Linked DNA regions of Macaca mulatta. The protein of the gene in region 1 binds, or shares a complex with, the protein of each later gene. Links are inferred from orthologs where the notes say so. Each region holds a gene or a part of one and is shown in the gene's direction. Other genes may lie near its edges.

The links.
Region 2: the proteins of AXIN1 (region 1) and GSK3B are in contact, whole or in part, in a crystal structure (PDB 4B7T), measured with the Homo sapiens proteins. The link is inferred for Macaca mulatta from reciprocal best matches to the Homo sapiens genes AXIN1 and GSK3B. Residues at the interface, in NP_003493.1 of Homo sapiens: Glu384, Pro385, Gln386, Phe388, Ala389, Glu391, Leu392, Ile393, Arg395, Leu396, Glu397, Val399, Gln400; in NP_001139628.1 of Homo sapiens: Ile228, Phe229, Val263, Asp264, Leu266, Val267, Ile270, Lys271, Asn287, Tyr288, Phe291, Lys292, Phe293, Pro294, Gln295, Ile296.
Region 3: the proteins of AXIN1 (region 1) and DVL2 are in contact, whole or in part, in a crystal structure (PDB 6JCK), measured with the Homo sapiens proteins. The link is inferred for Macaca mulatta from reciprocal best matches to the Homo sapiens genes AXIN1 and DVL2. Residues at the interface, in NP_003493.1 of Homo sapiens: Arg821, Tyr823, Lys825, Lys826, Glu830, Phe831, Val835, Val836, Phe837, Glu838, Glu839, Lys857, Glu859, Asp862; in NP_004413.1 of Homo sapiens: Lys15, Ile17, Tyr18, Glu23, Glu24, Thr25, Pro26, Tyr27, Leu28, Val29, Val46, Leu47, Gln48, Arg49, Pro50, Phe81, Arg84.
Region 4: the proteins of AXIN1 (region 1) and SIAH1 are in contact, whole or in part, in a crystal structure (PDB 5WZZ), measured with the Homo sapiens proteins. The link is inferred for Macaca mulatta from reciprocal best matches to the Homo sapiens genes AXIN1 and SIAH1. Residues at the interface, in NP_003493.1 of Homo sapiens: Pro378, Lys379, Glu380, Val381, Arg382, Val383, Glu384, Pro385, Gln386, Lys387; in NP_003022.3 of Homo sapiens: Cys130, Pro131, Ser154, Thr156, Leu158, Asp162, Ile163, Val164, Phe165, Leu166, Ala167, Thr168, Asp169, Val176, Asp177, Trp178, Val179, Met180, Asn272.

The regions. Positions count from the first base shown.
Region 1 is NC_133425.1:1,501,733-1,508,277, reverse strand, and holds part of AXIN1 (axin-1), read left to right. Parts: intron 1-1,962; coding exon 1,963-2,208; intron 2,209-4,254; coding exon 4,255-4,362; intron 4,363-5,906; coding exon 5,907-6,074; intron 6,075-6,545. UniProt on the Homo sapiens protein: Component of the beta-catenin destruction complex required for regulating CTNNB1 levels through phosphorylation and ubiquitination, and modulating Wnt-signaling.
Region 2 is NC_133407.1:163,631,679-163,638,727, forward strand, and holds the start of GSK3B (glycogen synthase kinase-3 beta), read left to right. Parts: upstream 1-2,408; 5' UTR 2,409-3,422; coding exon 3,423-3,510; intron 3,511-7,049. UniProt on the Homo sapiens protein: Constitutively active protein kinase that acts as a negative regulator in the hormonal control of glucose homeostasis, Wnt signaling and regulation of transcription factors and microtubules, by phosphorylating and inactivating glycogen synthase (GYS1 or GYS2), EIF2B, CTNNB1/beta-catenin, APC, AXIN1, DPYSL2/CRMP2, JUN, NFATC1/NFATC, MAPT/TAU and MACF1.
Region 3 is NC_133421.1:8,717,077-8,724,160, reverse strand, and holds the start of DVL2 (segment polarity protein dishevelled homolog DVL-2), read left to right. Parts: upstream 1-3,176; 5' UTR 3,177-3,461; coding exon 3,462-3,655; intron 3,656-6,977; coding exon 6,978-7,047; intron 7,048-7,084. Other genes in the region: PHF23 (PHD finger protein 23), read left to right, coding at 66-97, 250-342, 958-1,795, 1,887-2,101.
Region 4 is NC_133425.1:43,774,444-43,781,689, reverse strand, and holds the start of SIAH1 (E3 ubiquitin-protein ligase SIAH1), read left to right. Parts: upstream 1-2,516; 5' UTR 2,517-2,701; coding exon 2,702-2,792; intron 2,793-5,746; coding exon 5,747-6,597; coding exon of another isoform or gene 6,598-6,700; 3' UTR 6,701-7,246. Other genes in the region: LONP2 (lon protease homolog 2, peroxisomal), read right to left, coding at 6,581-6,700. UniProt on the Homo sapiens protein: E3 ubiquitin-protein ligase that mediates ubiquitination and subsequent proteasomal degradation of target proteins.

The DNA.
Region 1 (6,545 bases):
GATTTTTGTATTTTTAGTAGAGACAGCGGAGGGGGTGACCATGTTAGGCTGATCTCGAACTCCCGACCTCTGGTGATCCACCCGCCTCGGCCTCCCAGAGTGCTGGGATTACAGGCATGAACCACTGCGCCCATCCGAATCCTTTTTTTATATAGCTGTATATACTAAATACTGCATGTCCCATATTTTAGGATAAGTATTAATACGTTCTACTTTGAAACATATTTATAATTTTTATTCATTAAGACTTTTTTTTATTTTTTGAGACAGAGTCTCTCTGTCACCCTGGCTGAAGTGCAATGGTGCAATTACACAGTTCACTGCAGCCTCGGCCCCTAGGATTAGTATATAATTTATATCCCAGTAAAGCTGTTAAATGGATGCAAATGTTAATGGATGCAAAACCCCATCTCTACTAAAAAAAAATACAAAAAGTTAGCCATGTGTGGTGGCGGGTGCCAGTAATCACAGCTACTAGGGAGGCTGAGGCAGTAGAATCGCTTGAACCCGGGAGGCGGAGATTGCAGTGAGCCGAAATCACGCCACTGCACTCTAGCCTGGGCAACAAGAGCAAAACTCCGTCTCAAAAAAAGAAAAAAGTCACCATGAAAGGATTTTTTTTTTTTTTGAGACAGAGTTGCACTGTGTTGCTCAGGCTGTAGTGCAGTGGCACAACCTCGGCTCACTGCAACCTCCGCTTCCTGGGTTCAGGCGATTCTCCTGCCTTAGCCTCTCAAGTAGCTGGGACTACAGCACGTGCACTACCACGCCCGGCTAATTTTTGTATTTTTAGTAGAGATGGGGTTTCACCATGTTGGCTAGGATGTCTCCATCTCTTGACCTTGTGATTCGGCCTCCCAAAGTGCTGGGATTACATGCGTGAGCCACTGCGCTCAGCCTTTTTTGTTTCTTGAGATGGAGTTTTGCTCCTGTTGCTCAGGCTGGAGTACAATAGGCCGGTCTCAACTCACTGCACCCTCCACCTCCCCGGTTCAAACGATTCTCCTGCCTAAGCCTCCCGAGTAGCTGGGATTACAGGCACCCAACATCATGCCCAGTAAACTTGGTATTTTTGTAGAAACAGGGTTTCACCATGTTGGCCAGGCTGGTCCTGAACTCCTGACCTCAGGTGATCCACCCGCCTCGGCCTCCCAACGTGCTGGGATTACCGTGCCTGGCCAGTTTTTTTTGTTTGTTTGTTTTGGTTTTTTTGTTTTTTTTTGAGATGGAGTCTCACTCTTTCCTAGGCTGGAGTGCAGTGGTGCAATCTCAGCTCACTGCAACCTCTGCCTCCCAGGTTCAAGCAGTTCTCCTGCCTCAGCCTCTCGAGTAACTGGAATTACTGGTATCCACCACCACACCTGGCTAATTTTCTGTATTTTTTGAGTAGAGTCATCGTTTCGCCATGTTGGCTAGGCTCTTCTTGAAGTCCTGACCTTAGGCGATCCGCCCACCTTGGCCTCCCAGAGGATTGGGATTACAGGCAAATCAGGGATGGTTTTTTGTTGTCTTTTTTTTTCTGAGACCGAGCCTCACTCTGTCACCTAGGCCGGAGTGCAGTGGCGTGATCCTGGCTCACTGTAACCTCCAGTTCCCCAGTTCGAGCCATTCTCTGGCCTTAGCCTCCAGAGTAGCAGAGATTATAGGCGCCCGGCTACTTTTGTATATTTAGTAGGGACGGGGTTTCACCATGTTAGGCTGATCTCAAACTCCCGTCCTCTGGTGATCGCCCACCTCAGCCTCCCAAACTGCTGGGATTATAGGCGTGAGGCATTGTGCCCGGCCGGGATGTTTTTATTGTGTGGTCTGAGGAGGACATCCATGTGTCTTGGTGGCCAGGCCCCAGTAGCCCATCCTATCCTACCCCTGAAGGAGGCTGCCCTTGTGAGATGGGTGTAGCCCCACCAGGCCACCTGGCCAGGGTGTTGGCCACAGCCACAGCTTGTTCTCTTGTTCCCCAAGGTCCTCAGGGACAAGGAAGCCACAGCCCCATGAGAACTCCAGACCCTTGTCCCTTGAGCGCCCCGCGGCCGTGCACCCCTGGGCCGGCCCTCAGCTCCGGACCTCCGTGCAGCCCTCCCACCTCTTCATCCAAGACCCCACGATGCCACCCCACCCAGCTCCCAACCCCCTAACCCAGCTGGAGGAGGCGCGCCGACGTCTGGAGGAGGAAGAAAAGAGAGCCAGCCGGGCACCCTCCAAACAGAGGTACGGCCGCATCGTGGGGTGGGGTGGGTCTTGGGAGTTACCACAGCACCATTCCTGGGGCTGAAGCTCCCCAAGGCCTGAGGTCTTCAGGGGAAAAACGGCCCTCTGGTGTCGCCCAGCCATACTGGGCCCTTCCTTCCACTGAGAACCACTGAGGAGCCATGTGGCAGGCGACCCTGCGGTGGACGGAGGGCTGGGGCCGGAGCTTTCACACACCCAAGGCCTCTGTGCTCACTGCTCTTGTGGAGGGGGGTCCTTCCTGAACCTGAGCCGCGTCTGCAGGGCCCCAGTGTGTGGGGAACACTGGTCCCAGCCAGAGGCTGCTGACTGCTGGGCAGCCTGGGCTTTGAGGCAGGGGTCCTGGAGGCATGGCGGCTGCCTCTTGACAATCGCACCCCACGAGCCCTGAGTGGCTCTACGCGGTTGGAAAACTACGTGGGTCTGCAACCTGTGCAGATGTAGAGTTGTCATCCTGGACGTCCAGCCCCCAGCCCCTCCTCGCTAAGCCTTCCTTGGCCTTCTGGGCCCCAGTAGCCAGACCCTGTTCTCTCCCCAGAGCAGGCTGGCTTCTGCCTGGGCTGCAGCGAGGCCGCTCCTTTGTTCCGGCAGCGTTTTTGCTGCAGGCCAGAACCTGCCTTCTCCACTTTCAGCTTTTTGCTCTTGAGGCCAGTTTTCTCGGCCATCCTGGGTCATTGGAATTCCTCACACATCAGGGTCTCTGTGAGGGTCCTGGGAGCCTGTAGCTCATGCAGGCCCTGGGGCTGTGGTCACAGAGGCCATGGTTGCCTTCAGAGGTCACCAGCTCCTCCTGTCCACCTTGGGTCACCTGGGGCCTGGGGTCCAGGCCCACCTCCTGGGCCTCCAGCTTTGGGGCTGTGCCACTCCAGGGAGGCTGGGGCCAGGGGCCCTATTCTGCCAAACCAGCATCAGGGTTCAGACCCTTCCCAGCCGAAAGCCTGTGTGGTCTCAAGTCATTAAAGTTTCAGCCTAATGACAGCTCTGGGGCCAGAGAGGGTCACAGTTACCTCAAACCCAAAGGGTGATCACTTTATGGCCAAACGTCTGTGACCCTGTGATCTCGTTCAGCCAACAAGGAGCCAGAGCCCCGTGCCATGCAGGAGCCTGGTGTGTGGTGCTCGGAGCTGGGGCGTGTGACCGGGCTGGCAGATGAGCCGGGGGTGGGCATCATGTGCAGCAGGTTCAAGGCCCTGGGCCTGTGTGCTCTCTCCTGCTGGGGCTTCCTGAGCCCCCTTGTTGGGCTGAGCAGGGGTCTCTCGAGTTGCATCTGCCCTTTCCCCGGGCACCCACAGGCCCTACATGATGGCAGGGGATGCCCGTTGAGCCGTGGAACCATTGCCGCCGTTCTGAGACACGACCTTCCTGCCCCTGTTTGGATGCTGTGGGGAAACCCAGAGTTGCTGGGTTTGTCTGTCCAGGGGACACGTTTTTGCGAGAAGCTGTGGAGACTTGGAGTGAAGGCCCAGAGGCAGGTCGGGTGCTGGGCCCTGTCGGGCTGTAGAGTAGAAACTACCATCAGGGTCGCCCAGTGCACCCCGGTGGAGGTGTCCACGTGAGAGGAGCTGCCGTGCTGCCCCAGGATGGCCTCAGTTGTGGCGCCGGGGGGCTCTCAGCCTCCCTGAGGTGCAGACAGAGTTGCCACACCCCAGAGCCAGTGTCCACGCCATTGGTGGGGAATTCATGCCAGAGACCCAAGGACAGGCTCTCGGGAGGAGATGGCGTCCCACCAGAGGGGATGAGGTGGTAGGATCCCAGGACCCCAGATCAGAAGCTCCCCAAAGTGCGGTCTGGGGAACAGGGGGGTTGGTACCCAGATCGTGAGTGTGGAGTGTGCTGCAGTGTCTGGCACCACTGAGGCCTAGGAGGGGGTTTGGTGTCTTGTCCACCCTGCAAACTGGAGCCTTCACGGGGCAGGTTGTACAGCCCCTTCATGCTCCGTCTGTCCCTGCGCGGCAGCATTGGTCGAGGCTCCTTCCCCAGGGCTGGTGGCCGCCGGCGCAGCCACCATTGACGCGGGTTGTTCCCTAGGTATGTGCAGGAGGTTATGCGGCGGGGACGCGCCTGCGTCAGGCCAGCGTGCGCGCCAGTGCTGCGCGTGGTACCAGCCGTGTCGGACATGGAGCTCTCCGAGACAGAGTACGTGCGTCCTGAGGGTCCTCCTGGTCCTGCCCACCCAGCCCAGGCGTCTCAAGCCAGGTCCCATGGTAGAGCCGCCGTCCTGGGGCCTGAGCTCAGGTACCACGCTGAGAAGCAGCTGTGGCAGGAGAGGGTCCCACGGCATCAGACTCCAAGCTGCCCAAGAGCCTTCTCCCGTCTCCATCAGAGGAGATGCTGACTGTCCAGCATGACGATAAGTGACCAACAGGCCCGGCTGGAGGCCTGGGAACAGCCAGCCCTGTATCCACACAGGTGTCATGGGAGGCCCCTTGTGGGGCAGAGACCTACCCCTGCCCCTGGCCCCACCCGGCTTGGAACTGGCTGGTCCCCGCAGACCTGGCTTGAGCAGGGTCGGGGCTGCAGGTGTTTAGGTGCGCGAGGTGCGTCAGCTTGCAGTGTGGGTCTCAACTATGTGCGTCTGTCCAGTCCGTGCAGTCCGTGAGTCAGGGCTCTGCTCCCACCTGCAGTGCTGACCACTCCGAGCCCGTGAGAAAGGCTTACTGTGTCCATACCACGTGATCCCACATGGGCTGTGTCAGTGGCGCCTTTGTGTGCTCAAGGTGGCAGGAGGGGCATATCCCAAAAGGGGCCTTGAGAACAGGGGTCCCCCAGGCATTACCAGGCTTGCCCCAGATGCAGGTTTGTTGTGGCTGTCATCCTCTAGGGGGTCTTGGAGGGGCCTTCACCCGTCCTTGGGGCAGCCCCCACATGTTGGCTCATTCTCCTATGGGCCTGGCTCCAGGGGGCTGCAAGGATGTGGCTCTGGGAGAAAGTCCAAGAATGCAGGTGGGTGGGGGCCTTGGTGTGCGAAGTGGACGGTCACCTGGCTGAGGTGGCCGTGAGGCCTTCCTGCCATGATGTCGGCTCTGGCAGCCTCTAGTGCACGCAGCCAGCAGGAGGCCCGAGGCCTGAACCCCAGTGGGCCAGGGGCAGCTTCTGGAGTCATCTGAGGGACAGGTGGTGGCAGGGGAGCCAAGCAGAGGGTGTGAGTGGAAGCACAGCCCCTGTAAGAGGAGGGCCCAGCTCAGCCTGGGCAGGAGACGGTGCCAGCCCCACCCCCTCTGAAGGGCCTGCTGGCCGCACCCGCAACAGTCCTGGGACAGACTTCACTGTGGGGTCAGGCTCATCCAGAAATCGTGCATAGTTCTGTTTGTCCAATCCCTGCCCTTGAGATGTTTTTAAGGTTTGGGGGCCGTAGGTCTTCCTGGCATAGGAGCCATGCAGCCTGCCCTGCCATCCTAGAGGTGAGAGCTACAGTGCGCCCAGTGGCCAGGCCCTGTCCAGTCGAGGGTGGGGCTGTAAGGCAGCGGGGAGACCTTTGTGCTGCCAGTGAGTGGAGTCAGACTCCACTGCTGGTGGAGTAGACCCCAGATTGAGATGCTGGGGCGGGGGGGCAGTGGGGCCTGGGGCCCCAGGTGTTTGCAGGCCTGCCCCACCCTTTGCTGGCAGCCTGAGGCCAGCAGGAGGCACCCTGTGGGACCTCAGTCCAAAACCAGGGACCACTGCTGCATCTCTTTCCCCAGGACGAGATCGCAGAGGAAGGCGGGCGGCGGGAGTGCCCAGCCGTGTGACAGCATCGTTGTGGCATACTACTTCTGTGGGGAGCCTATCCCCTACCGCACCCTGGTGAGGGGCCGCGCTGTCACCCTGGGCCAGTTCAAGGAGCTGCTGACCAAAAAGGGCAGCTACAGGTGAGTGTGAGGGCTGGGGTGCCCACTCCCTGCAGGGGTGCGTGGGTGCCCAGCAGTACGAAAAAGAGGGTTTCTAGCCAGGCATGGTGCCTCACTTCTGTAATCCTGGCATTTTGGGAGGCAGAGACCGGCAGATTGCCTGAGCTCAGGAGATCGAGACCAGCCTGGGTAACATGGTGAAATCCTTTCTCTACTAAAAATACAAAAGAAATTAGCCAGGCATGGTGGCGGGTGTCTGTAATCCCATTTACTTGGGAGGCTGAGGCAGAATTGCTTGAACTCAGGAGATGGAGGTTGCAGTGAGCCGAGATCGCACCACTGCTCCCCAGAACTCCAGCCTGGATGACAGAGCGAGACTCCGTCTCTATCCAAAAAAAAAAAAAAGGCTTTCCGGCTGTTTCAGCTCCTGTCCCTCATCTGCACCTACGCCAGTTCTCCAAGCCCTGGGCTGAGGATGGCATCAGGCCTTCG
Region 2 (7,049 bases), on another chromosome or scaffold:
TAGCCATGTTTCCAAATTGTATAACTTAAACATTTGTTATTTATTTTCCAGCTGGTATAACTAGGAGTAGGGACGGGAAGTATAGAAGAGGTAGGCACGATTTAAAGTTTTGCCTCACAGCATTTTAGGGAACAGCGGCAAAGGTCTTTCATAATAAACAGCATGGAGAGGCACCACAGATGACAAGGTTGCCGAATTGAATTTGCTTTTAACATTCTTTACCCTCACCCATGGCATCCAGTGACCTTATGCTCTTTTCATTGCAAAGAACAAGAACCTCTACCGCTCTTAGGCTGTAAAACCTATTCTCAGGTTTGTGATTACAAACTGCCTGTTGGCCTCATCGGCCAAGGGATGTTTTTAGGTTGGTCTGCAGGGTTTGAAATATCGGTTATCAACATTTAAAAATACAGAGATTTCACACAAAAATCCAATTTTGGGATTTCTTTTGGGAGGAAAAAAAATTGAACATCTGAGAACACTGGACCCACATTCCTGAGGGCAACAATCTGCTAGAGCTGAGCAGCTGTTCCTTCTAGTTATGGCATGGATATTCCAATTTGCCATTTCCCCCATCATTCCCCATTGTCTTACACAAGGCCAGTCTCACTCATTTGCTTTACTTGTCTGGCCTCTATAGCCATCTGAATCTGCAAACACTATCTGGACCTTTCCTGTCTTCCATCAAAGCTTACTTTGTTCTGTCCCAAGTCCTTCATCAGTGTTTCAAAGCAAGAGCCAGGTAATCTGATCAAATTTAGGTCCTTTTACTTGTGCTTTCTGGAGACAGTATCCTAACTGAAAGAGATGATTCTGCAGGTAGAAATTACAGGAACCACTGGATTACAATCAGGATGGCAACTGTCTGTTCTACTTTCTCTCTCTTGACGTAGCCATACCTCACTGTTCTAAAGCAGACCAAAGGAACTGGTTCTATCGTAGAACAATGGACGCTGGTCTTACATATGAAATCTATTCAAGCTGCACTTTTATAGATCACCCTAATTCCAAAAGATCCAAAACTACCACGGGCTCCTCTAACCCCCCATTTCCTTGGAGGCTTCAGGATATCCGGCCTGACGGCATTTCCCCTCACCTGCTTTCGGGGCCCGTTTTGCGCTGGGCAGTTGCGCCCAAGGAGCGCGCGCATCCAGCATGAGCTCATTTCTCATGGGCGTTTCCAGAGGCCCGGCCGGGCCGCGCACACCAAGCGCAGCGGGCCTCTCTATCAATGGCCCCCGAGGCTGGGCGGGGCGCGGCCGCCCAAAGAAGCTTTGTTCCCATTTTAGCGTCTGAGAGCTTGCTGCCGGCTGGGAAGGCCCCCTTTGTCCGTCAGGCCCTTTCGGGGAAGAGGCCGACACCCGGCACACGCGATCCAGGGCAGAGGGGAGCCTTAGGCGCGCAGAATTGGCTGCGCCCCGCCGAGAGCCTCCTGTGGATGGGGAGAACCCCTCGACCCCTCTGCTCGCTTGAGCTCTTAGAACCCAGCGCCGCCGACCGCAGCACTTTCCGATTTGCTGCGCCTAGGGCAGGCGGTCCCTATGTGCGGTTTCCACCGTAGTTGGAGGCCGCAGGCGAGCCGTCGGGTCGTCAGCCACGACCCTAGTCGGGCATCTCCCAGGTCCTGGGACGGAGGCCGAAGGCCAATCACACTGCAGCTAAGTCTTGCGATTGGACGGCAGTGAGAGCCGATTGGCCACCGCCGCGAGTTTCGAGCTCCACCCTCTCCCTTTTGCCCCAACTCCAGCGCCTAAGCTTCCGGCCAATGAGACGGCGCTTTATAGACGCCCTCCCTTCGCTTTCTTCTCCCCACCTTGGAGAGGGAGGGGAAGTCCTGACTGGCCAAACTGTCCTCGGAAGCCCCCTTCCCTTCACCAATCACCGAGGGAGGTACGCTCCCAGCGGAGTTTTCCAGCCAATTACAAAGCGGCGGCGGCGCCCAACCGTGCAGTTTCACCAGCGTCTCTGGGTTTCACCGTCTTCAACTCTTCAAGCTTTTTCGTGAGGGCCGGCGACTCTGATTGGCCACTGTTGCCATTGTCGAATGTCTCCTCCAGCCAGCCACCGAACAAGGCGAAATCACCCTTTCCGTTCGGCTGCCTTCGGCATTTTCCGCTCTTTGGGCGTGGCTTTCCAGCGTCACTTTCTAATTGGTTTCTCAGGCCGATCGGCTTTTTCCGGGAGGAGCCGCAAACAAACGACGTCCGTGATTGGCTCCGTTCGGGCTTCGGCTCCCAGCCGAAGCGGGCGAGAGTGGGGCTCGGGCGGCGATTCCCAGACGCCTGTTACGCGGGCGGCGGTGCGCTGGGCGGTGTAAGGCTGGGTGGGGGAGGAAGGAGGTGGAGGAAGAGTAGGAAGGGGGAGGGGGAGTGGGGAAGTGCAAGGCGGCTGCGCAGACAGCGCTCCTCACACAGAGCAGCCCCTGACCCGGGCGAATGCGGGCTTGTGCCGCCGCTGCCGCCGCCGCCCGGGCCGAGTGACAAAGGAAGGAAGGAAGGAAGCGAGGAGGAGCCGGCCCCGCAGCCGCTGACAGGGTTCTGGGCTGGGGGCAAAGCGCGGACACTTCCTGAGCGGGCACCGAACAGAGGCGAGGGGCGGGAGGGCGGCCGAGCTGTTGCCGCGGACGGGGGAGGGGGCCCCGAGGGACGGAAGCGGTTGCCGGGTTCCCATGTCCCCGGCGTATGGGGAGCAGTCGAGGAGCCGCTGCCTGGGGTCTGAAGGGAGCTGCCTCCGCCACCGCCGCCGCCATGGCCGCTGGATCCAGCCGCCGCCTGCAGCTGCTCCTGGCGCAATGAGGAGAGGAGCCGCCGCCACCGCCCGCCTCTGACTGACTCGCGACTCCGCCGCCCTCCAGTTCGCCGGGCCCCCGCCGTCAGCCCGCCGGATCCCACGGCTGCCGGAGCTGCAGCGTTTCCCGTCGCATCTCCGAGCCACCCCCTCCCTCCCTCTCCCTCCCTCCTACCCATCCCCCTTTCTCTTCAAGCGTGAGACTCGTGATCCTTCCGCCGCTTCCCTTCTTCATTGACTCGGAAAAAAAATCCCCGAGGAAAATATAATATTCGAAGTACTCATTTTCAATCAAGTATTTGCCCCTGTTTCACGTGATACATATTTTTTTAGGATTTGCCCCTTCTTTTCTCTCCTCCCAGGAAAGGGAGGGGAAGGAATTGTATTTTTTCCCCAGCCGTAAATCATCTATATGTTAAATATCCGTGCCGATCTGTCTTGAAGGAGAAATACATCGCTTGTTTTGTTTTTTATAGTATACAAAAGGAGTGAAAAACCAAGAGGACGAAGTCTTTTTCTTTTTCTTCTGTGGGAGAACTTAATGCTGCATTTATCATTAACCTAACACCCCAACATAAAGACAAAAGGAAGAAAAGGAGGAAGGAAGGAAAAGGTGATTCGCGAAGAGAGTGATCATGTCAGGGCGGCCCAGAACCACCTCCTTTGCGGAGAGCTGCAAGCCGGTGCAGCAGCCTTCAGCTTTTGGCAGCATGAAAGTTAGCAGTGAGTATTGATTTTATTTTACGCCCCTTTTCCACTTCGCCCTTAAAATAAGAAATCTCGGAATACCAGGATCTGAAAATATTAGACTTCCTAATATAACAAACAAGCAATGGAAAAGGGCAAAACCTATCTTCAGTCAAGGATGAAGCAGCTCCCTCTTTACTCCTCCCATACCCCCTCCCCCGGTCTCATTAACCTTGAATTGAGATAATATGATTTTTATTTGGATGATTCGATTTGAAACTGCTTTCTTATACTTTTCTTGCTGTTGGTAGTGAGTTTCATCAAGTGCTTGAGTGTTTCCACGTTAGTGATGACCGTGTTTACTTGCCCATCCTTTAGAATAAAGAGAAGGACAAGATTTGATTAATAAACCATTGTGCACATTTGCAGAATGTATGTCTTTTGGAATAAGAGGGTATTTTAGGTCTCAGGATTTATCATAGTTTGGTATACTTAATAGAGACATTAAACGTCCCACCCTCCCAACATTTTTTTCTTGTCTGTATGACTACACATAGTATTTGTTCTTAATCTGTGGATGAACTTGCTCAGTAACCATTCACATTTGGAGGCTGTCATTGATTTCTCTCTTTAGAAGGGACTAGTGGGAGCCAATAAATACCCAGCAGCAGTAGCATCTCTGTATGCATTTGTGTTCGATTGGATTAGTGGTTTGATGTGTTCTCTCTTAACCTTCCTGTTTTGACATTACCAACCTGCCACCGTATAATTTATATTTAATCAAAAGGTAACATAGAAGTATTAATAGGTCCAGGTTTTGATTGAGATTTGTTTTGTCATAGTGCCAAATAGTAAGTTAAATGTTGTCACTGGCTCATTACATTTAAGTTCAATTTTGGAGTACTGTTGCGCTCCTGTTAAATGTTCTGGAGGGTTCCTTAAAAAGGACGATTTAAAATACTCTTGCGTTAGTTTCCATCACATTTAGATAACTGTGGATTTAGTTAGAAGAATGTGGCTTTAGTCCTTTCCATTTTGGCTTTTGCAGATGGCTGTGGTCCTGGAAATAATAGGGATATTTGGACTGTGTTCAGGGTTGTAGATAGACTACTCTTGTCCTGGGTTTGTGCTGAGAAGTATGCTTTTGAAGTGTTTAGTATATACTAAGTATCTAATGTTCCAGTGTATCTCTATTTATGGAGAAGTTCATGTGGTGTTTAATGACAGCTTGTTTAAACATACTTTCAGAATTTAACAAAAATATCTATGTTGTTTCCTTATTGTGGGAAAGAGGGTCATCATGAGGGCAAAGAAATTACTGTGTTGCTTAGAAGAACGGAGAGAACTAAAGAACTGAGATTTTAAGAACTGACACACACAAAAAACATGTATGTTATGTGAAATTGATTATATTCTTAGGCAACATAAAATGATCACTTTTAGTTGAACTCAAGATTTCATTTCGTGTTGGCTTTGGGAACTAGCCTGAAACAGGGTAGTCTAGGTAATAGCTGAATGGGAGATTATTTTTCAAAGTTAATTTTTTTTTCCCCCGGTGGTTTGCAAGTAGAGAATGCCGGGGTAGGAAAAGAGGACAGCTGATTATGCATCTTTCAGGGAAGGGTCGTGCTTTCTAAGCGCTTCATGGAGTCATTTGAAAAATATTTTAAAATTCCGGGGTAATTTTCAGCTATGATGATACAAATCTTATAATAACTACTTAAGAGCCTCTGTTGGTACTGGAGTGTTTGTATGTTTTACATCTTGGTAATATAGTTTGAAAACCAGTCAATCAATTTCAGCTAATTGATTTATTAGCTTTATTTCAGAGATCTATAATGCTAGATTATAATGCTACATTTTGGGACTTTTCATTTTCTTTCCAGGATTTTCTTTGAAATGACTTTTGAATTTTTGATAATGCAGATACTAAGGATGGAGTAACTCTTGTAAAATATATAGATGAAAATGTTTATTTTCTGATTACCGTATAGGTCAATTTAGAATTTAAAAAGTTGGAGTTTAGTGTTAATTATGTGTTTTTGACAGCTTTGACTTTAAAAACATTTAAAAGAAAGGGGAGTCTTTAAGCATTTGTTAGGATGCTAGCATTCTAAGGAACCCCTGTTGAAAACAGAAACATAAGAAATTGTAGTCCTTGCTCTCAAAAGCTTATTTGGTTGTAGAGGGAGGCTATGGGAAAAAAATTAAAACAATAGCATGATGACTGCTAGATTGTAAAATACAAATTGAATCATTTGTTCAGAGGGGCAAAGAGTAAAAGGGTGAGACTGATGGGTGGGAGAGGAAAGACTTCCTGCGGACAAGGGGTATTAAGACTGATACTAAAGGACGTGGTAACTTGAACTGGTAGAAAAGCATGAAAGGTCTAGGTGGAAGGAGTGTACCAAGGCACAAAGATGATGAGTTTTGCATGAGAGGCAATAATCAAGTTGGCAAATCGGAGTTAAAGGGGCCTACGTAAGAACATAAGAACAAATGGAATTTGAGAAATAAAAGAAAGTTAGCTGATGGAGGGCAGAGGGATTCTGTAAAAGTTTGATTGAGATTCAAAAGAGATCTGGATTTACTGTTGGCTGCTGAACAAGATGTAAGATGATTTTTGCAGTTGAATTAATGAATTATAGTAGAGAGATGCTAGAGCCTTTTTAGGGAGCTAGTAGGGTATGTTGTGAATCATGAGGGACTAAAGTAAAATGTGAAAATGGGGTGAAAGGAACAGGTTTGAGAGACAGTGTGAATGAAGAACTGGCAGAACTTCATACTGGACTGAAGTGGAATATTTGTGAAGGAGTCAAGAGTTAAAAATAAATACTGATGTTACTGGCCTGGAAGACTTCACTGCTGAGTTATATTGTTAATTGTAATGGGAAAATTGAGAAAGTGCTGAGGTGAGAGGGTAGGTGAGTTCACTTTCTTAAACTTTAATATACAATAAGTTCCCTTGAAATTCAGACAGCAGTTAGTTACTGGCAATGATATTTGACTTCCTAGTCTATTAATTGCACAGTTTCTTATTTTTCTACACCTAAAAATGTTGGATTTATATTTGGGAGCAGTAAACTAAGGGCTTTTATTTAAATGCTTTTCATCAAATTCCAATTTTTTTTTTTTTTTAAATACAGCTTCAAAAGCCTCACACTTGAAACCTAGTTATAATAGTTTCATGATAGTTTATTTCAAAACAATGAAAACACTTTTTGGACTAAACTGTGACAGAAACATTTTAGATATTTTATGTAGCCATTAACCTTTGATACATGCTTAAAACTTTTTTTTATAAATAATGATTATTATTTTACATGCAAGATTTATTTAGGAATAAAGTATTGAGATCCTTCACTTTGTGAAGACTCCAGAATAAATTAAAAGTTGATTTTATAACAAGTAGTTTTTGCCCTTTTTGTTGAGTTTAGGCATTAACCCCAAATTTAAATCAGTATATTTGAGATACTACTTTTTACTTGCTATAGCGAAACCAATGTTTCATTTTTGTTCACTTCCAAGTTTACGTGTAATTAAATAAATGTTTATAAAGTTTTTCTTTAGAATCG
Region 3 (7,084 bases), on another chromosome or scaffold:
TTAGAGGAGGAATTTTACACAGACTGTTTCGTAGTGTCTTGACTCAGCTTTTATTGCTTTTCCAGATCCACCTCCGACCCTGAAGCCAGAGACTCAGGTGAGATTTCCTTGATCTTTGCAGCCTAGTAGCCCTGCCTGACAACGCCCCCGCCCCCCTTTTCTAGACGCCTCACTTAGGGACTGTGTCTCTGAGAATGCCCTTCTTAAACTGTGTGGCTTTCCATGTGATCCATGTCTCCTTCCTTTCAGCCACCAGAGAAACGGCGGAGAACAATTGAGGATTTCAACAAATTCTGCAGTTTTGTTTTGGCATATGCTGGTTACATCCCTCCTAGCAAAGAGGTAGGGGCAAGAGAATTACTGACTTGAGGCTCGTGTCGTGGGACTAGAGAGTGGCTGTTGTTCACATAGAACTGTACTGCTTTATAGGAGGAAGCCCCTAGAAATATGTAAGACTAGAGGGAAGTTGGAGATTCTTAGGACTGTGGTAGGAAAGCTGGTATGCAGGGAGTGGATGGCAGGGCTAGCTAGCTTGAACAGCAGTGAAAAGCAAGGGGGATCTGGAGTTGCTGGTCGAGATTTTGGCAGTCTTGAGGTGCTGTGAATAGAAGGTGTTTATGGATAAATTTTAGGGAGATGAAAATGGTAACAAATGAGGCTACACAGAAAAAGAGCTAAGGACATAAGGCTCTGGTCTGGGGGACACCGTGTTCCACAGGCCCTGGGCGGGGCAGCGGTGAGGTATCAAGACTCGAAGGTGGAGGTAACACGGAGTGGTCAGGAGGACATGCTGATGGGAATTGGGGTGGGGAGAAGTTTTGGGAGTACAGTGGGATTTAGTGGTTGAGGTAGAGGACATTTTGGGGTAAATCTAGTCACTCCTTTTCAAGCTGGGTTTGTGGAGGGGCTGAGATGACACTGGGGTTCTGCTGACCCTGGACTCTTTCCCCTTTTAAGGAAAGTGACTGGCCCGCCTCTGGCTCCAGCTCTCCATTGCGAGGAGAGAGTGCGGCCGACAGTGATGGCTGGGACTCGGCCCCCTCAGATCTTCGAACCATCCAGACTTTTGTTAAGAAAGCAAAGTCATCCAAGAGAAGGGCAGCCCAAGCAGGTCCCACCCAGCCAGGACCCCCAAGGTCCACTTTCTCTCGTCTGCAGGCCCCCGACAGTGCTACCTTGCTTGAGAAGATGAAGCTCAAGGACTCTCTCTTTGATCTCGATGGGCCCAAGGTGGCATCTCCTTTGTCCCCCACATCCCTGACACATACCTCCCGGCCCCCTGCTGCTCTTACCCCCGTGCCCCTTTCCCAGGGGGACCTCTCCCATCCTCCTCGAAAGAAGGACCGAAAGAACCGAAAGTTGGGGCCAGGAGCTGGGGCTGGCTTTGGGGTGCTTCGGAGGCCTCGGCCAACTCCTGGGGATGGGGAAAAGAGATCTCGAATCAAGAAGAGCAAGAAGCGGAAGTTAAAAAAGGCAGAACGGGGGGATAGACTCCCACCTCCTGGGCCTCCCCAGGCACCCCCCAGTGATACAGACTCTGAAGAGGAGGAGGAAGAAGAGGAAGAGGAAGAAGAGGAAGAGATGGCAACAGTGGTAGGGGGAGAAGCCCCAGCCCCTGTGCTCCCAACACCCCCCGAGGCTCCTAGGCCCCCTGCCACAGTGCACCCTGAAGGAGTCCCTCCTACTGACAGTGAAAGCAAGGAGGTGGGCAGCACTGAAACAAGCCAAGATGGAGATGCCAGCTCCAGTGAAGGCGAGATGCGGGTCATGGATGAGGACATCATGGTAGAATCAGGTGAGAGGTTTGGGCTGGGGCGAGGGGTTTGAGGGTGTTGTGGATCCAACAACTGCTCAGGCAGAATACCAAACAAACCTTTTTTCCCCAGGTGATGACTCATGGGATCTGATCACGTGTTACTGTCGAAAGCCCTTTGCAGGGCGGCCCATGATTGAGTGCAGCCTGTGTGGGACGTGGATCCACCTCTCCTGTGCTAAGATTAAGAAGACCAACGTCCCTGACTTCTTTTATTGCCAGAAATGCAAGGAACTGAGGCCAGAGGCCCGGCGGTTAGGGGGGCCTCCCAAATCTGGAGAGCCCTGACGGCACCAACTTTAGCCTGGAACTTCCAAATGATAACATGATTTGGGAACTGAGCCTCAGGGTCCTCAGCCTACCCCCTGGAGCTTGGATACTGTCCGCACTTCAAGGCAGGAATTCCCAAGGGAGACTTGTTTGAAAATGAGTGTCTCACTTTCCTACCCTATCCGTCCTCCCCACTCTGAACTTGAAATTGAACCCATTACGGTTGCGGGTGGGAGGCTGTCTGTGTCTCTAGACACATAATCTCTGTCTCTTGGACCTGCCACCATCACTTTCTGGGTCAGGATTGGAATTGGGATGGAATGGGACAGTTGTCTATAAAACTCTAGTGTAAATATTAGCACTCCCCTCCCTCATCTTTTCTTCTATTTCACTCCCCATTTATTTTCTTCTACACCGGTTGTATTTTTAATTTTGGACTTCCCCTACTGGGCATGGCAGCTCAAAGGTGGAGTACTAGAGCCTGGCCAAGCAAGGAAGGAAAGCAGAAAGGTGACGATTCTCACTCACCTCTTTTTAATAATATTGGCCGCTGTTTGTACAGACAGCCTGCGTGTTGTGAATAAAGCAGAGTGGGCTCTTTTGTGTTTATAGCCCTCACTGTCCTGCTTGGGAGGGAGGCTTTGGTGGCTGAAGACTAGCTGGACGTGGTGCTGAAAGCCACCTCTCACAGTCCAGTCTGAAGATGGCACAGCACTGGGCCTCTCCCACCCCAAGATACTTGAGTAAGCCACCTCAGAGCTTTCATTGTATTTGGCCCTCCCCACTCGAGTCTAGGAACCCCCACAATCCCCACCTTCACTCCCTGCACGCACACTCCTGAGGGTCAGAGTTGCTTCGCGCTCCCGCCGGTGTGGGGTAAAGCCGGGTGGGAGCCGACTGTCCGCTTCCTGAGGGCACAGGCCAGCTTATCCTGGGTGCTCGGAGGACCTCGGCTGGGGTACACCTTTGGGGGCTGGGAGACCGTTGCCGAAGGCAGCGATCACGTGGCGGGGGCACTAGGAGGAGTCACGCGGTCACGTGACTGGGAGGGGTCACGTGACGGGGGCGGCTGAAGAGCGCGGGGTGGGCGGGCTTAGGTCACGTGACATGAGGAGAGGTGGGCGGGGACCTGGAGGACGCTCGCGTTGTCGGTGGCGGTGGCGCGCGGCGGCCGCTGAGACCGCGGCTTTGAGTCGCACCTCGCGGCCCGCCCCCCGCCGCCACCCTTGCCGACCCCTGCTTTTTTCCCTTTGCTTCTCTCCAGTACTGGGTCCGTCCTGTCCGCGCTCGCTCGTCGGTTTGCGGGTGTGCGCAGGCGCGGCAGGGGCCATTAGCCCCTTGGGTGGGCGGTGGAGCCCGGGAGCGCGCGGGCGAGACCATGGCGGGCAGCAGCGCTGGGGGCGGTGGGGTTGGGGAGACGAAGGTGATTTACCACCTGGATGAGGAAGAGACTCCATACCTGGTGAAGATCCCTGTCCCCGCCGAGCGCATCACCCTCGGCGATTTCAAGAGCGTCCTGCAGCGGCCCGCGGGCGCCAAGTACTTTTTCAAGTCTATGGATCAGGATTTCGGGTGAGCGCAAGGCCTAGATAGGACCGACGGGGGCTTTGCTAGAGTGGATTGGGCGACGTGGAGGGGCACACATCTACTTCGGGCCACACTAGGATTTTCTGGCCTGTGGTGGAGCAGATTGTACCATGCTGAGGTAGGTTGACTCTCCCAGGATGGACAAGGTTATGCTTGGATAGATTGAGGCACACGGGCAGACTAGGATATCCTAAACCAGATTAGAGACGATTAGGCTCTACTGGAATAGGTGGGGGCATACTGGTTTATTTTGGAGTGTTTTAGACTGTACTGAGTAAATTCATTTATCGTCTGGTCGTTTAGTACGTTCTCAGGAGTCCTGTAACGCCTGTAATCTCAGCACTTTGGGAGGCCGAGGCGGGCGGATCACGAAGTCAGGAAATCGAGACTATCCTGGCTAACACGGTGAAACCCCATCTGTACTAACTAAAAATACAAAAAAATTAGCCGGGCGTGGTGGCGGGCGCCTGTAGTCCCAGCTACTTGGGAGGCTGAAGCAGGGAGAATCGCTTGAACCTGGGAGGCGGAGGTTGCAGTGAGCCGAGATCGCGCCACTGCACTCCAGCCTGGACGACAGTGCAAGACTCCATCTCCAAAAAAAAAAAAACACCAAAAAACAAAACAAAACAAACTTGGGCCATTATGGACTCTACTGGGCTGTATTGGTTAATCCTGGTTTATCTTGGGGCAAGACATGGTTTTATTGGAGCACTCAGTATGGGGGCAGACAAGGCTGTTGGTGCCCATGCTAGTACAGGTAGCTGTATTGGGGTATTCTAGTCTATATTGGTGCAGACAGCTAGCTGCGTGTGGGGACATTGTAGGCTGTGCTAGAATAGATTGGGCTATCCTAGGGTAATTTGGACATTCAGGGCTATCTTGGACTAGATTGGCATGTAAATAATGCAGAGAAAGCCCTTTTGTGTTTATGGTCTTTGGGGCTGAGCCCTCTCTGGGTCCTCAACCTCTGCTTTTTTTTTTTTTTTTTTTTTTAAAGACAGAGTCTGCTCTGTCGCCCAGGCTGGAGTGCAGTGGCTGATTCTCGGTTCACTGCAAGCTCCGCCTCCCGGGTTCACGCCATTCTCCTGCCTCAGCCTCCCCACTAGCTGGGACTACAGGCACCCACCACCACACCTGGCTAATTTTTTGTATTTTTTTAGTAGAGACGGAGTTTCACCGTGTTAGCCAGGATGGTCTCGATCTACTGACCTCATGATCGGACCGCCTCGGCCTCCCAAAGTGATGGGATTACAGGCGTGAGCCACTGCGCCCAGCCCAACCTCTGCTTTTTTGAAGGCAGGCTGGATTAAGTTGAGATAGCATGGGTTTTAGAAGAACTGAACAAACTGGACTCTAGCTAGAAAGATTGTTTGACATGGGAAGGGTGATACTATCTTGGGAGTTATCTTGGCTTTAAGTCAAGGTTCTTCTAGTTGTCAGCAGTGCAATCTTGGACAATTAATTTAAATTTTGTGTCTTGATCTCGTCTGTGACATGGAGAAAATCACAGAATGAAATGGTTAGTTCAGGTGTGTGGTACATGGTAAATTCATGGTGAATGGTAATTGTCATTAGTATTGAGGCTGACTACTCTATAAAGGTTATGGTGATACACAGTAATTTGTCTTAAGAGTGGACTGAGCTATGCTGAGATTGTGTTATGTTGGGAAGAATCCTACATGATGCTGACACAGATTGGTAGTGACTGGGCTGTGTTGTCACATTGACAGCAAATGGATTAAGTTGATATATATCCTGGCTCTTATGACCATATTAGGCTAACGGGTTAATTAGACAAGGTGTCCTAATTTGGCGGCAAGGGTGTGTGTGGAAAGAGAGAGAGAAACAACCAGGGCAGAGAGTCTGATGCTTTATATGTTTATTCATTTAGTTGACAGTATTTGTTAATGCCTAAGTGTCAGTGTGTGGTGTGTGGCCAGGACATGGTGTTGATCAGAGTAAGTGTTCATGGTTTGATGTCGTGGTCAAGAAGAAGGGGCAAGTCCAGTCCACCACAGGGAACCCATTGGAGAGATGACCCCAAGGCTGGGCTTTGGGATCTGTCAGGCTGAGCAGATTGCTTCGTGCCGAATTTTGTGCCAGATGAGGCACAGGGGAATGGGAGCGCCAGCTTGCTCTCTCCTTGGGAGCTTTCAGTCTAATGAGGAGCTTCCATTGTTTGTTTGATCTAATGGTGGGTGGTTTTGTTTTTTGTTGTTTTTTGTTTGTTTGAGGTGGAATCTCACTCTGTTGCCCAGGCTGGAGTGCAGTGGCGCAATCTCGGCTCACTGCAACCTCCGCCTCCTGAGTTCAAGCGATTCTCCTACTTCGGCTTCCGGAGTAGTTGGGATTATAGTGTGCACCACCGTGCCGGGCTCATTTTTGTATTTTTAGGAGAGACAAGGTTTCATCATGTTGGCCAGCTCCTGGCCTCAGGTAATCCACCCACTTTGGCCTCTCAAAGTGCTGGGATTACAGGTGTGAGCCACTATGCCTGGCCTCTAATGGGTGTTTTTACTCAAGAAAGGACAGTCTTCTGGAAATGAATTAGTGAAAACTAAAGGCAAGTATAAAAGTAGAGACTTGGTTGAGGACCGAAGCCTTTTTTTGGAAGGTTTTTTTGTTTTTTTTTTTTTTTTTTTGAGACAGATTCTTGCTCAGCCGCCCAGGCTGGAGTGCAGTGGCACAGTCTTGGCTCACTGCAACCACTGTCTCCTGGATTCAAGCAACTCTCCCGTCTCAGTCTCCTGAGTAGCTGGGATTATAGGCACCCACCATCATGCCTGGCTAATGTTTATATTTTAGTAGAGACGAGGTTTCACCATGTTGGCCAGGCTGGTCTTGAACTCCTGACCTCAGGTGATCCGCCCACCTCAGCCTCCCAAAGTTTTAGCATTACAGGCATGAGCCACCGTGCCCGGCCTTTTTGGAAGGTTTGTAAGGAACAGGGATGGGCTTGAGAGGAGGCTACCAGCCAGTCTCATTAGATAGGTATCTTAGGCAGCTGCATCAGCATAGGGGATTGCCTTTGAAATTGTACTGAGAGGTTTGAATCAGACTCAGTCAAGTCTTTGGAGCAGCACTACGCCCCTGAGGGTGCGTTAGGGAGAGGAGAAATAAGGAAAGGGGATTGAGTTTGGAGATTTCTTAGGTGTCAGAGTGAGTTCTTTCAATGTAAGAGAAGACCTGAACAGGGCGGGAGAAAGTCAGCATCCTGGAGCCGGGTGAAGATTGGGAGGAACTTTGATGGGGGTGGGGGTGGGGGTGGTTGGTCCAGCTCACTGACCTCCACCTTGTCTCTTGGCAGAGTGGTGAAGGAAGAAATTTCAGATGACAACGCCCGCCTCCCCTGCTTCAACGGAAGGGTGGTATCCTGGGTAAGAGGTGCAGACGCCGAGGGCTGGGTCCCCTCTG
Region 4 (7,246 bases), about 42 Mb from region 1:
ATATTATGCTTTTTTTTCCATATCTGACTACATTTCTCCATTTTAAACTTTTATAAGTAATTTATAAAAGGAAACAAAGATTGCCACGTGGAATTGAGAATAAAAGTTTATCTTTCTACTGTTAAGTATGCATGGTAAATCAATGGCTGAATGCTCTGAAATTACTAAGACAACATTAAAGGCTGATTCTAAAATGTTTTTATTTAGATTGACATCTACTTAAACTATATACCAAACTGGGCTTGGGACGTAGGCTTTAGAAAGTATCGGTAATAGTGCATTCTTGTTAAGTTTGGGATTTTTGCCAGTTTTTGGATTCTGTGGGCTTGTCTTAAGGTACTTCTGTGAACTTTTCAGCGGTTTGTAAAACTAGTGTAAATAAATATTCTACCCAGTTGAGAATTAAGGTTTATTGTGCTAAAAATTAAATGGTGGTTGATTCTTGGCAGACATGTTTGATCACCTTTGCAAGCTTAAGGCATCTTTTGGAGTGTGTGTCTTGGAATCTACAAATTCTAAGTTTCTAATTGATAACTTGGCAATTAAATCCGGTCTCAGCTCTAAACTTAAATATTCTGGAATATGTACCACCTGTGATACACATAAATTACCCATCTCAATCTAGACAAAAGCCATTTGAGTCTGGAAACAGTCCAGTTTTACAGCTGAATAACTAGGGGAGCCTGGGTTTGAATCCAAGTGTAGATGACTCTAGAATGCTTCCACTTTTCTAACTTAATTAAGTAGAGGGGCCTGTCTATAGATGAGTGGTTTTCAGAGTGTGCTGTAAGGCTCTGTACAGATCTTTTGGAGTTTGATAAACAGTGAAATATCTTTTGCTTGAGAAATAATCAGTCATCTTTTTGTTGTATACATTTTGGTTCTCTCATAGTTCTGTGGAAGTTTCTCTAAAATATATGAAATTTTCTTCTCTAGGGAAATTTAAGACCTGTTGAATGAATAAATATTAGAAAATAAAAATACAGACCGGGCACAGTGGCTCAGTACTTTGGGAGGCCAAGCAGGCAGATTGCTTCAGTCCAGGAATTCGAGACCAACCTGGGCAACATGGGGACTCCCTGTCTCTACAAAAAATACAAAGAAAATTAGCGAGAGTGGTGGTGTCAGCCTGTGGTCTTAGCTACTGGGGAGATTGAGGTGGGAGGATTGCTGGAGCCCAGAAGACCCAGGCTGCAGTGAGTGTAGATTGTGCCACTGCACTCAGACCTGGGCAACAGTGAGACCCCGTCTCAAGAAAAAAGAAAAAAAAAATAGTTCTGGCACGACTGTGTCTATTTTCAATTATATTTCTTTTCCTAATGTTGTTTTGTGTAGCCTGTATTGTAAAATGAGGTTGAGGTGATTGGACACACTGTTAATAGAGTGAGGAAGTGGGTAGAGTTAAAATTTCTTGCTGAAAGTGGGTAATCTGCAGTTCCTTGCATTGGGTTCACTCCTCACTGCCAGCTCTTGCTGCATTTGGAGGCTGCCCTAAGCATGATGTAATGACAGGTTAAACCTCTGCACGCACTAGCTGATGCAATGCAAATCTGAGGCCCAGGACTTTATTGGGGCAAGGGTAATGCTTGTTTAAAAACAAAACAAGCTACTCTGTGTTTAATGAGGCCATTTAAGATGGCTTTCCCAGAGTGGGAAGAGTATAATCTCTTAGGAGGTTTAAGTAGGAGTTTAATGTGGCAGAAGTGTGCTTACAACTTTTCCTGCGAAGTCTTTTCACAGCGGGGAAGGAGAGTTTAAAATATAGTGCCCATAGGAGTAGAAATGAAGTGAGCTAGAATTGAGTAAATATGGTAGTTGATGCCCGGTAAATAGCTGTTGAATGAATTAAGGAGAATGTTTTCACTCTAAAAATTAAGTTTGCACGATGAACCGGGAATGTAGCGCCGGTGTGGGCACGCATTTCCCAGATACGCCAGATACGCTGTAGCTCTTAGATCGAACCGTGAGAAACTGCCGATATTCGACTGTTGTGACCTACCGAAAACAGCATGGTTCTACCTAATTTTAAACTGGTGGAAATGCTGAGGAAGGCTCGATGTCGCTGGGGTGGGATGGGGTCAACAGCGGGGTGGCGGGGCCCCGCCCTGGGCTGCGGGGCGGGGCTTGCGGGCACAGCCCCACCCCTGCGCGAGCAAGACGGGCACCGCCCTGCGCGCTGCGCGCCCTGAGCTGGCCCTGGCGCCCCGGGTTGGAGTGGGCGTTCCCAACGCAGGCCCAGCCCCGGCCGAGGCTCCAAATGGCTCTCCAGCAGGCAGGCTTCTGCAGTAGCCCCTGAGCTGGCTCAGGGAGCGCACTTCCTTCGCAGTGAGCGCGTCGCCCCCTGCATCCCCGGCCTCCACCGGAGCTGGGGAGCTGGGCAGTAGCCTACGGAGTGAATCTGGAGAAGACAAACTTGGGAGACAGACGAAAGCTTAGGGCACACTGGAGGACAGCGCAGCTGTGGCTCCCATTTTTGGAGATGCAGCCGAATTTGAGCTCACAGGGAGGTGTGGTTGCCTCCTGGGGATGGGAAGGCTTCCTTTCTCCACCTCTGTAACTCGTGCTTCTGAGAAGTAAATGGATATTTGGATCCTGACCTCAGACGCGAATTTGGGTCTTCTGTGCTTAGGAGCAGAAAGTGCCCAGGAGGGGCCTGTTCCTTTACTTCTTGGGGGAAACGCAATGCGCGGCCTGACTTCTCATGACGGGAAAGGCTACTCCACCTTCTCTGTACTCCTGGAGGGGAGTCTTGTTCACATGTTTACCAGCGGCCAGGACAAGGAAGAGAAAAGGTATTGACATTAAGAGGATAGGTTGCTGAGGCTATGAAGCTTGAACGCTATTAGTCAGTGGAACCTGTCTGGCTTAGGGAATGGCTGCAGCAGAATCCAGCCGTTTCCGAGGTTCTCAGTCATGTTTCATTTGGGTTGCTGTGCTTTTTTATGTTTAAATCAAACTTCAGGTTACGTCATGACTTCTGCAGGGCTGTCCTTAGTTCCTACTGCAGGGCGGCTGTGTGGTTGGGATTCCTTTTCTGTTTCAAGATGGAGCTGGGTTCCACCCTTGGAGCTTTGAGAGGCTTTAGCAGTTGCTGTCCTGTAATACCTCCATTCACAAGAAATACCGTTCACATTTCAGTTCTTTTTCACACTTTGAATAGGAGTTAAAATGTGCTTTCTATAGTGTTTGGAAAATGGTAAAGATGTATTGTGAGCCTGAACTGTTGATGATAAATGTATAACTATTGCTAGGTCAAGAAATTGTGAACAACAGTGTTTTTCTCGGTCTCTAGCTATGTTGTGTTAAATATAAACTGAGTTTACTGCCCTTGGATGTGATTCCTTGGTTTGGTTTAGTAATCTGAAAGGCATTGGTTGACTAGACTGTTTTGTGCCCAAGGAACCACTTTGTAATTGTTATGCTGCTTACTGAAGTAAACTGGACCATGCAGTAGGCATACAGCATACAGCCAGGGTGTTTTGGCAATACTGAGCCCACTGTTTTACAAGTGACATAAAATGGATGTCATATGTACAAAGAATCTACTCAGAGGGAAACTGGATTACAGGAGAGCTCCTTTATAGTCCTTTGTCAGGGGACAGAACACCTGGGTCACACTGGGCTTCAGATGAGAGTTGATTCATGTTCTGAGTCCGTATGATGAGACACATTATGATGGAATTCTGTCACTTTTGTTGCCTCTTGAACTTTAAAATATCCTTTTAGTGATGTGGAATTAATCTTTATTTTTCCTTCACCCTAAGCCCTCATTTAAGCTATCAGTTGGTAACCACTTGGGTAATCTAGAAACCAAGTTGCATTTACTTGGTCACATTGGTAACCAACATTGTTTCTTAAAAGTTCCCTGCAACAGAATAATGACTATAATTGAATTAAAACATTAATTTTGAAGCTTTAATTTTGTAATATGGCTTAGTGGCCGGGCGCAGTGGCCAATGCCTGTAATCCCAGCACTTTGGGACGCCGAGGCCGGGGAATCACGAGGTCAGGAGTTTGAGACCAGCCATGGTGAAACCCCGTCTCTACTAAAAATACAAAAATTAGTCGGGCATGGTGGTAGGCACTTGTAATCCCAGCTGCTTTTGAGGCTGAGGCAGGAGAATTGCTTGAACCTGGGAGGCAGAGGTTGCAGTGAGCAGGCACCATTGTACTCCGGCCTGGGCAACAAGAGCAAAACTCCATCTCAAAAAAAAAAAAAAAAAAAAAAGAATATGGCTTAGTAGAGTTACTAGGAGTGCACTCTTAGGACATCGACTGATCTTTTTTTCCACCCCCAAGACAAATAGTGGCCTGCAATATCCCAGCCCAGGTAGCTTCCTGGGAAAAGTTGCTTGTTTTATGTTTGACTCAGCTTGACTAGTTACATTGTCGATTATTTCTTCCAGATGACATTTACTTGTTAAATAACGTTGATTACTCTGCTGATGAATGTTTCAGCAACGCTGGAGAACCCTAGGCTGCAAGGGGTTCTTCACCTGTTGACTTCATCCCCCACCCCCAGTATGGTATATTATCTCTGCCGTGCTATCATCTTTATTCTTTCCTTTTTCACTGTCTCTTCCTGACTCTCCTCCTTTGTTCATTATGTCTGATACATATTGTGGATTGAAAGTGGAACAGAAAGATGTACTTTCTCTACCAGACTAAAAAGTTTTGAGATGGCCCTCCATTTCTCCTATGTCTCCCTTCACCTTTGTTGTGTGTTTATTTTTATATTTTTGCTACCTTCACTAGCGAGTACATCCCCTCACTCTTGAGGTGAGCACTAATCAGTAAGAAATAAGATTAATACCTGGCTGATGATAATTTGGGGGGAAGACTTAATTAGGTAAAGATGGATAATGGGATGGCAGCAGACCTTTCCCCTTGTGACCCCTCCCCTCATTCCCAAAGTACACCTCTAGAGTAGATAATGGCTTACCATTAAGAAGAGTTAATGGAAGGTTCTCTGATTCTTTGGCATTGGAACTACACTTGTCCCGCGGTATCCTCGGAAGATTAGTTCTAGGACCCCCTTCCCCATACCAAAACCTGAGGATGCTCAAGTCCCTGATAGAAAATGGTGTCGTATATGTATGTGCATATTCTCCTGTATAATTTAAATTATCTCTGGATTACTTAATACAATGTAAATAATACGTAAATAGTTGTTATAGACTGTATTTTAAAAATTTTGTATTATTTGTAAATTTTTCTGAATATTTTCAATCCATGGCTGTGGTGAAGTCCTTGGATGCAGACCGTGTGAATACAGAGTGCCGATTTTATCCAGGACTTCACCTGTAACTCCCTATACCTATCAATAGCTGACTCCAAATTAGAAAGAAATAAGAGTAAGGGAGTCTCAGGGAGAGAGTCCTAGCAAAACGGATTCGATTAAACTTCAGTTCCTTGTATAGTTTCTCTAGTTGTTTATGGTCCATCTTCTATTTTAGCATTTATTATTCCATGTAGTCTATCCAAAGACGATTAAGGGAGTTCCAAATGTTTTCCGGAATATTTTGAAAAGAGAGCTTATCCAGTGTACAGATCCTAATAAAGTGCACATTCAGTGTAATTTTATTTTTTAGTATGTTACTTTTTAAATTCTATTTATTTTTCTTTCTCTTTTGCTCAGTAAATTTTGCATGAAACTTTAAAAGTACTTCTGGCATGTAAACATTATTTGTAAAATAAGTCATGGTTATAATTATTTTTCTCCTGCCTCCTTATGTATTTATTTCAGAAATGAGCCGTCAGACTGCTACAGCATTACCTACTGGTACCTCGAAGTGTCCACCATCCCAGAGGGTACCTGCCCTGACTGGCACAACTGCATCCAACAATGACTTGGCGAGTCTTTTTGAGTGTCCAGTCTGCTTTGACTATGTGTTACCACCCATTCTTCAATGTCAGAGTGGCCATCTTGTTTGTAGCAACTGTCGCCCAAAGCTCACATGTTGTCCAACTTGCCGGGGCCCTTTGGGATCCATTCGCAACTTGGCTATGGAGAAAGTGGCTAATTCAGTACTTTTCCCCTGTAAATATGCCTCTTCTGGATGTGAAATAACTCTGCCACACACAGAAAAAGCAGACCACGAAGAGCTCTGTGAGTTTAGGCCTTATTCCTGTCCGTGCCCTGGTGCTTCCTGTAAATGGCAAGGCTCTTTGGATGCTGTAATGCCCCATCTGATGCATCAGCATAAGTCCATTACAACCCTACAGGGAGAGGATATAGTTTTCCTTGCTACAGACATTAATCTTCCTGGTGCTGTTGACTGGGTGATGATGCAGTCCTGTTTTGGCTTTCACTTCATGTTAGTCTTGGAGAAACAGGAAAAATACGATGGTCACCAGCAGTTCTTTGCAATTGTACAGCTGATAGGAACACGCAAGCAAGCTGAAAATTTTGCTTACCGACTTGAGCTAAATGGTCACAGGCGACGATTGACTTGGGAAGCGACTCCTCGATCTATTCATGAAGGAATTGCAACAGCCATTATGAATAGCGACTGCCTAGTCTTTGACACCAGCATTGCACAGCTTTTTGCAGAAAATGGCAATTTAGGCATCAATGTAACTATTTCCATGTGTTGAAATGGCAATCAAACATTTTCTGGCCAGTGTTTAAAACTTCAGTTTCACAGAAAATAAGGCACCCATCTGCCTGCCAACCTAAAATTCTTTTGGTAGGTGGAAGCTAGACACATGAAGGTAAATGAAAGGAAAGGCTGTTAAATACAGGAAACAGTTGCATGTAGTAACACTAATATATTTAAAAATAAGTCAACAGTAAACCACTGAAAAAATATATGTATATACACCCAAGATGGGCATCTTTTGTATTAAGAAAGGAAGCATTGTAAAATAATTCTGAGTTTTGTGTTTGTTGTAGATTGATTGTATTGTTGAAAAATAGTTTTTTTGTTTTGTTTTTGCGTGGGAGTGTGTGCGTGCGTGGGTGTGTGCGTGTTTGGGTTTTTCTCCTTTAACTGACAAGCCATCTTGAGTGGTCATGGGCCACTGCTTTTCCCCTTTGTGAGTCAATACATAGTGCTGCTGTGTGCTTTTTTGTGTGTGTATTTGCTAATTTTTATTAATTTTAGTTTTTCATTAAATAAATTTGACTTTCCTTTCTGTAATTCAGGTTTTTCTTCACTTTTTTTGTACCATTTTAAAGTTAGTGTCTTTTGATATGCATACTTGTTATGGTAAAAGTTTGTAACATGTGTTCAATATTTTCTTT